2 linked regions of the Mus musculus genome follow. The protein of the gene in region 2 purifies or fractionates together with the protein of the main gene of each other region. This does not show direct contact. Links are inferred from orthologs where the notes say so. Each region holds a gene or a part of one and is shown on either strand. Other genes may lie near its edges.

Region 1 (4,326 bases), on a different chromosome or scaffold from region 2:
TGAACACAGGCACGGGGGCGGGGAATGTGTGTGAACCGAGGCACTCAGGCCCCTCATTAGTAAAACCCTGCTTGGACCCTCTGCTTCCAGCTCTTGGCATCAACCACACACAAAACTGATGGCATGCCGGCTTGGGTTCCAAGGCAGCGCCAGGCGAAATCCGGCCCTGTTTTTCCAGGGATACGTAAGCGCCACCCCACGCAGGTCCTTCCACCGAGAAACGAGCGATGTCTCCAGCTCCAGACTTAGACTTCCCCTCCTACCTCTACTGCCTTTCAAGTGCTCTCACCTCGAGTCCAATCTGCCATCGCGCCCTCCAGGGTCCCACTCAGGGAATTCGCAGCACAGCAACGGACGTGGCACCAGTACCCGGGTCTTCCGGTTCCGCCTCCGGGCTAATAACTTCCGGGAGAAGGTTCTGAAGCGGAAGAAACAGACCTGGAGTGCTTCTCGGGAATGTAAATAAGGGAAGGGCGGGCCACCAGCATTCGGACCCACGGATTGGTCAGCAATATTAGTCCTGCGCTGTGGGTGTTACTCGGAGCAGGTGTTCAGACCCAAATTTGGAGCAGAGGCTAGGAACCAGCTCAGTAAATCAGTCGGATGCCTCTGGCGCTGCTAAATCCAACTGGATGGGGAGGACAGGCAGACCCGAAAGAGACTGGTGAAGGAGACGGCCGGGGCCTGCCACTGAGTAGGGGCAGAGCCGGTTAGCACGGCGGGTGACATCATCCACTGGAGCACTGTTTGTATGTGTCACTGTGGGGCACCGACTCAGCTAAGTGGCGTGCGGACCTGGCTCCCCGCTACACAGCGCTCCTACGCTTCTAACCTCAGACACGCCTCGGCTGGCCGCCCCTCCGTTGCTCCTCTCGCGGGAGTGGCTTTTCCACGGGTGTTCTTCACTTCCTTCTCTGCAATTTTCTTGAGAATAACCGTATTACTTTGGTGGCTATTCTTTTTAGATAGGTCTGCTAGTTTCTGCCTCTCGAGTGCTGGGATTTAAGAAGGCGTGCGTCACTATGCCCGGCTAACCACGTGCATTATTTTGACCATCCAAGTCGTTGTACTTCTCTTTCCCTATTCCCTATGGAAGATGAGCTCCAAGGCCTGGATCGCGAGAATCGTCTTCCCCAACTGATTAAGCGGCCAGGAGCCGGCGCTCCCTTTTTTATCACAGTACGGGGACAAGAGCGTAAAGAGGACGGTCCACGCGCGGGCCAAGCCACACCCCACTCCCCACCCTCCCATCCCACCCCACCCCCCGCCTGCCAGGAACTCGGGCTAGAGAGGAGGGCTCAAAAGGAGGACACTGCCTGGCTGGTTAGCTAGCATCGCCGCTCCAAGACTAGCCGCTCAGCGACCACAGCCGGGTTGCTCCACCTTAAGTCGGAGGCGCCTGTACACACCCTTGGGTTCGGCTGCTCTCCCAGCATCCCTCACGCGTGGACGCCGGGCTTCCGGACCTGGGCGGAGCCCCGGGGTTTGGCCGATTGCGTCTTCCCAGCCCAAGCCTTCCAGCACCCGGTGCCAGGGGCCATGGAGCCCCGGGCAGTTGCGGATGCCTTGGAGACCGGAGAGGAAGATGCGGTGACAGAAGCTCTGCGGTCGTTCAACCGGGAGGTGAGAGGCATCCGGCTGCCGAGGAAATTTCAGGAAGAGAGGAAGCAGGGGTGTGCGCGCAACTCGGCTGGGGTGTGCGTGCGAGTGGTGGCAGGGAGCACGGCGGTGGGTGGTGGGCTGGTCCCTCGGGTGGCTCTGTGGTGGCGTGTGGTGGGGCAGGTGTATGGGAGGCTAGGGTGGGCCTTGCCTTAAGGTTCAGAGCGATGGATGCTGCTTCAGAGGTCTGCTCTGACTCGAGGAGCACGGGTCCTACCTGCATGTGGATCTGAGCCTCCTGGGTCTCCCTGCAGCATTCTCAGAGCTTCACCTTCGATGATGCCCAGCAGGAGGACAGGAAGGTAGGTGTCAGCCCCAAGGGCTCCTAGGGCAGGCACGGGCTGACCCCAAGAAGAGGGCCTAGTGGAACCACTTTTGTTCGACCCCACAGAGACTCGCAAAGCTACTGGTCTCCGTCCTGGAGCAGGGCTTGTCACCAAAGCACCGTGTCACCTGGCTGCAGACTATCCGAATCCTATCCCGAGACCGCAGCTGCCTGGACTCATTTGCCAGCCGCCAGAGCTTACATGCACTAGCCTGCTATGCTGACATTACCGTCTCAGAGGAACCCATCCCACAGTCCCCAGACATGGATGTCCTCCTCGAGTCTCTCAAATGCCTGTGTAATCTTGTGCTCAGCAGTCCAACAGCACAGATGCTAGCAGCAGAGGCTCGCCTGGTGGTGAGGCTAGCGGAGCGTGTGGGACTGTACCGCAAGAGGAGCTATCCCCACGAAGTCCAGTTCTTTGACTTGAGGCTCCTTTTCCTGCTAACAGCCCTTCGCACGGATGTGCGCCAGCAACTGTTTCAGGAGCTGCACGGTGTACGCCTGCTGACTGATGCGCTGGAACTAACACTGGGCGTGGCCCCCAAAGAAAACCCTCCGGTGATGCTTCCAGCCCAAGAGACGGAGAGGGCCATGGAGATCCTCAAAGTGCTCTTTAATATCACCTTTGACTCTGTCAAGAGGGAAGTTGATGAGGTAGGTTGGAAGTCTTGGCTGAGACTCAGTTCGGGTGGGACAGTTTGCTTCCCTTTGTACCTCAGCTTGCAGGGTATCAGATATGGCGAGGACTAGAGGATGGTGTAGGCGGGAACTCAGGGAAGGTGCCTGAGCCGCACTGTGCATGGGGTTGCAGGTGGGTATTCTCCACAGTGCTTCAGGTGGCCAAAAGCACCACATGTGCTGTGCACAGCGTCTAGGGATCAACTCCATGTGGCCACAAGAACAGGGGTTCGATCTCACAGGAGCCCCTTTCTGTCTTTGGTTAGGAAGATGCTGCCCTTTACCGGTACCTGGGGACTCTTCTGCGGCACTGCGTGATGGTTGAAGCTGCTGGGGACCGCACAGAGGAGTTCCACGGGTGAGGGGTAGGGCTCACAATGTTGGGGACGGCAAGAGTTCCTAGGTATGGGTACAGAAGTCCTTAACCCTAGTTGTGAATCAGAAGCACTTGGGGGCCCAGGCCCCACCTTTGACTTCATCAGGGGAATGGGGCACCAGTGTTGTTTCCAGAGAGCCTAGGTAACTCAGGTATGGCTAAGAGAAGAGCTATGAACTTAGAGACAGGGCCTTAGGCGGAGGCAGTATGGTCTCTTGCTGGTGCCTCTGCTCATCTCAGGTTCGAGAGATTGTTTGGCATCTCAGCTCAGACATAATGGCCCAGATAGCGTCTGCAGAATCTCCCCACCAAATTTGAGTTGGGGTACCACCTGCCCTTGCCTATAGTCTATTGCTTTCAGTGCAACCCTTCGAGCCCATCCATGTGTACCCCAGGAGAAGGGCCAGGGAGTGTATCTGTGCTAAATATAATTACTGTGTCGAGGCCTCTGTGTGTCTGTCCCCAGCCACACGGTGAATCTCCTGGGGAACTTGCCCCTCAAGTGTTTGGATGTGCTTCTGGCCCTGGAGCTCCACGAAGGATCCTTAGAGTTCATGGGAGTTAACATGGATGTGATCAGTGCCCTCCTCGCCTTCCTAGAGAAACGTCTGCACCAGGTAGGACTGGGGGCCTGCTACGTGGACACCCAGGGGCTCGGGCACCTGTTGTGACTGCTGTTTCTGAACCATTGGTACTGGCGAGTAGAACTCAGCTTGACGATATATCGTGGACAGTTGCTCTGACTGCTCTGTGGTGCAGCTAGACGGTGGCCGCTCAGTCAGGCCCTCGCAGAAGCCTGCAGATACACTGTGTGTGTGAGCCCTCCTGCTGCTGATTACCAGAGGAGAGCAAGCTTCTCGGGTCCCAAGGTGAAAGGTAGCCCTTAGGTCTCTGTGGCTCTGCTAAGTGGTTCTCAGAAGCCTTTAGTTCCCGCTTCCAACCGTCAGGCTCCTCGTGTTTCTATACATGGGCAGCCAGAGGCGACATTGTCCCTCTGCATTTTTTTGGTTTTGTTTTGTTTTGTTTTGTTTTCAAGACAGGGTTTCTCTGTGTAACTCTGGCTGTCCTGGAACTCACTCTGTAGACCAGGCTGGCCTCAGACTCACAGAGATCTGTCTGCCTCTGTCCCCTGAGTGCTGGGATTAAAGATGTGTACCGATACCACCGTCACCCCACCCCCACCCCCCAGCTGTCCCTCTGCATCTTAAAGAGGCATAACCACAAGTAATCTGACCCCTGTGGGTTTCCATGGGGCATCCAGAGAGCTGGCGATCCAGCCTTTCCG
Region 2 (3,645 bases):
GCTCTGGCCCATTAACCTTAACGGGAAGGGGAGCCGTCTGAGAGGAGTGGTGCTGCTAAGAAATAGTCCTGTTTTACTGTCAGCACGTCAGCACGTCAGGATGAAGCCATCTATACGTTATTTTCTACCTATTTAGTACGCTCTGATCCTTCTAGCAATAGTCAATACCTATTTGGCAACTAACAAAAGCGTGCTGAAAATGTAAACAAACACAAAATGATAATTGTATAATGAATTCTAATGGTAGGTAAACTATTATTTAATTTTACATTTAATTTTCTCTAAATACTGATGCTATCTGGAGGAGAAAAATAAATAAATGTGTGGGGTGTAATCAGATAAAACATTGAGCTAATGGCTCTTAAATATTAAGTTTCTAAACCAAGGAACACTGCTTACAAAGATCTTACCCCCAGACAGAGAGGCTAACTAAGGGGAGTCAGTAAGCCAGGCATGTGGTATACACCTGCAACCCTAGCACTCAGCAGGCAGAGGTGGAAGATGCAAACTTGAGGCCACCCTGGTCTACACAGCAAGAACTAGGTCATCCAGGTTTACATCATGAGATCTTGACTCAAAAACAAAAGCAAAAAAACTTTTGGTTCTTTGTGCCAGACCCAGGCAAGAACAGGCTATGACGTACTTGAAGTAGAGTTCCTTGAAGGTGAAGTGGGTCTCCACAATGCCTGTAGTCTTCACTCTTGTCCGAAGAACATCTTGCTGAGTTGGAATGTAGTTGGTCTGGGATATTCTATCCAAATCATTTAGGTAGCTAAATAAAATGCATATTGGTTTTTACTTGGTAAAGTCAACCATGGACATGACAAATCAACAGACCAAACTAGCAGCTTGGCAAAAGTCAATTCTGTGACTGGCTAAGTACTGGCACATGTGAGGCCTAGGTTCAATCCCAAGTGCCAACAAACAACAAACAAAGGTACCCTGAAACTCACTGAAGGGCAGAAAAATATTAAATCTTCAGTATCATAGAATGAGTGAAAAAAGTGAATCAAGTATAGGGGAAATTAATAGGTTCTACACACAGTAACAAGAATGGTTTTAAATATACCGTAAAAGCAAATTTTAAAAACATGGCAATTGTATTATTGCTAAATCTAATATGAAGTGAGCTATGCACTATAGAGCAGAAAAAACAAAATCAAACTGGGATTGTGACAAAGACCTGTAACCCTGGACCCCATGAATTCCAGGTAAGTCTGGGCTACAGAGCAAGACCCATATGAAAATAAAATAACAAAAAGTTAAAAGTTCTTGGATACTTAAATTTATGTCAGCTGCATACATAACTATTTGACAGCTTCTTAAAGAATGATACTTGATATGAAAATGAGAAGAACTACATTCAGTGAGAATATAGGTGGATATGTGAGTATAGGCTTATAAACCCAGCACCCGAGGATGCAGAGGCAAGAGGCCACATGTTTGAGACAAATCAGGAAGATACAAAGTTTCAGGCCAGCCTGGGCTATGTAACAAGACCCCATTTCAAAAAAAGGGGGAAGAGAGTAGGGGAAAGACAAAGGCTAAATCTTCACTGATTCCAGACCAAAAAAAAAAAAAAAAAGAGCAGATGCACTACTTTAAGTGTGCCATTCAGATCATCTACAAACCAAATACCACCATTAACAGAGTTGAGCTTGGATGAACAGTGACAGAGGGACCCAACTTTATAAATAACATGTAGTTTGGCGAGTCAGAGCTTACTCAATGGATGACAGAAGAAACGATTAAAAATTTACCTCTGATAGCCACTGAATTGCTTAAACTACCAGTATACGCACATAAAGATAATCTTAGTTTTAAAAAGACAGCAAGAATCCTTTTATTGTTTGTCAAATTATAAGTAAGCTTTATAAATAGCATTTATATATACCATTTCTTGTAACAATTGTGACAGAATGAGAATGGGAAAATATAAGGCTAGAGAAAATACCTTAACAACCAAAAGTCCTTTATCTTGATTGGGGCGGGGGGCGGGGGGCGGGGTGTGGGGGGCAGGAGGTACAGATGTCAAGTACTCACCAGGTCCCCCAAAAGTAAACTTTAAAACTACAGCATGAATATATAAATGTGTCGGGGGGTCAAAATGGGATCAAATGTAGCAGTGAATAAAAGTACTAGTTACCAATTCTCTAAAACTAACACTCAAGTGAGCTTCCTTGATAAAGAAAGGCTTCATTCTATTGTATGATAATGTCCTCATCCCACAGAAGCCACCACCGCAGTCTGGCAGGAGAGGTGCACGGTGCTGGGTTTTGTGGTACAGGCTTGTCATCTCAGCTGTTCGGAAAGCTGAAGCAGAGTGGTCAGAAACTCAAGCCTGCCAGGGCTACGGAATGAGTTCAATGTCAGCATGAGCGAGATTGTGTCTCAAACAATCAAGAGGGCTGAGGAGGAAACTCAGTGGTAGAGCCTTTGCCCCACATGCACGAGGCTTTGGTTTAATCCCTAGTACAACACACATTCACAAAAGGTTAAGTGTAATGACTACTACCAGAAAACCTCACAGTACATCGAGTATAAAAGGACTGGCACACCCGTGGTGGTGCTGCACATCTCATCCTAGCATGTAAGGCAGCGCAGGGGGATCTCTGTGTGTTCTAGGCCAGCCAGAGTTACACAGTGAGATCCAGTCTCAAGTACAATAATAACCAAGGGGTGGGGCAGCTCTCTGTATGTGTGTGTGTGTGTGTGTGTGTGTGTGTGTGTGTGTGTGAGTGAGAGTGAGTGTGTGTAATGGGGTGTTACCCCTCTAGCTGGCTATCAGTGCTTTGTCCTATACGGAGGGCATCTAGATGTCTCAACTTTACTTGCTTATTATAAATAGATCTCTGAGATAACCTTAAAGTGAGACAACTGTAATACAGGATCCTACAAACTTTTGGACATTAGTACTTAAACATTTCCTTAAGGATAGGCAATGAACATTCTCTAGAGTCACCAAATTATTATTTATTTATTTGTTTGTTTGTTCGGGGGCAGGGTTTCTCTGTATAGTCCTGGCTGTCCTGGAACTCACTCTGTTGATCAGGCTGGCCTCAAACTCAGAAATCCGGCCACCTCTGCCTCCCAAGTTCTGGGGTTAAAGGTGTGTACCACCACTGCTCAGTTACCAACTTATTGTCTATCACAGTTTCAAAGGAAAAAAAAAATCACTTACTATGAAGCAGAATCATTGAGCTGATATTCCCTGGACCTGCTAAAGCATGCCTGTACCCCGCCATCTCGCCATAAACGTTTAATCACGCCTGCTAGTTCTGAAGTCATGACTCCTTCTTCAGCACTCCCAGCTAAAACAAATAACTGTCGGGCATCATCCTGAGAAAAACAGTTAAGACAGGGGCAGATGAATTCCCACTTCTTTACTAAATGAGTTTCATTTTTCACACAGTTATGTGCACGCGCAGAATCATAGTTTAGAAGAAGTGCTATAGAAACCTTTCCTGACAAGGTAGCATGAGAAAACTAGCAACTAAATCCCCAGCCCACCCTCCCACTACAATTCTAAATACAAATAGCTGAATAATGATCTGCCTTCCTCTTAATTCTCCATGTCATACCGCCATCCTCAGAAAAGGTCTCTTGATGGACTCGCAACCCTCTACCCTGATGACTTATGATTTA

The links. The genes of interacting proteins can lie anywhere in the genome.
Region 1: the proteins of Gnai3 (region 2) and Ric8a purify together in Homo sapiens (affinity purification with mass spectrometry; 3 studies listed by BioGRID and IntAct, counting the BioPlex papers as one, with this or other methods). This does not show direct contact. The link is inferred for Mus musculus from reciprocal best matches to the Homo sapiens genes GNAI3 and RIC8A.

The regions. Positions count from the first base shown.
Region 1 is NC_000073.6:140,855,932-140,860,257, forward strand, and holds the start of Ric8a (synembryn-A), read left to right. Parts: upstream 1-1,465; 5' UTR 1,466-1,539; coding exon 1,540-1,623; intron 1,624-1,913; coding exon 1,914-1,961; intron 1,962-2,050; coding exon 2,051-2,641; intron 2,642-2,931; coding exon 2,932-3,023; intron 3,024-3,507; coding exon 3,508-3,658; intron 3,659-4,326. Other genes in the region: Bet1l (BET1-like protein), read right to left, coding at 290-308.
Region 2 is NC_000069.6:108,115,120-108,118,764, forward strand, and holds part of Gnai3 (guanine nucleotide-binding protein G(i) subunit alpha), read right to left. Parts: intron 3,340-3,645; coding exon 3,182-3,339; intron 773-3,181; coding exon 644-772; intron 1-643. UniProt on the Homo sapiens protein: Heterotrimeric guanine nucleotide-binding proteins (G proteins) function as transducers downstream of G protein-coupled receptors (GPCRs) in numerous signaling cascades.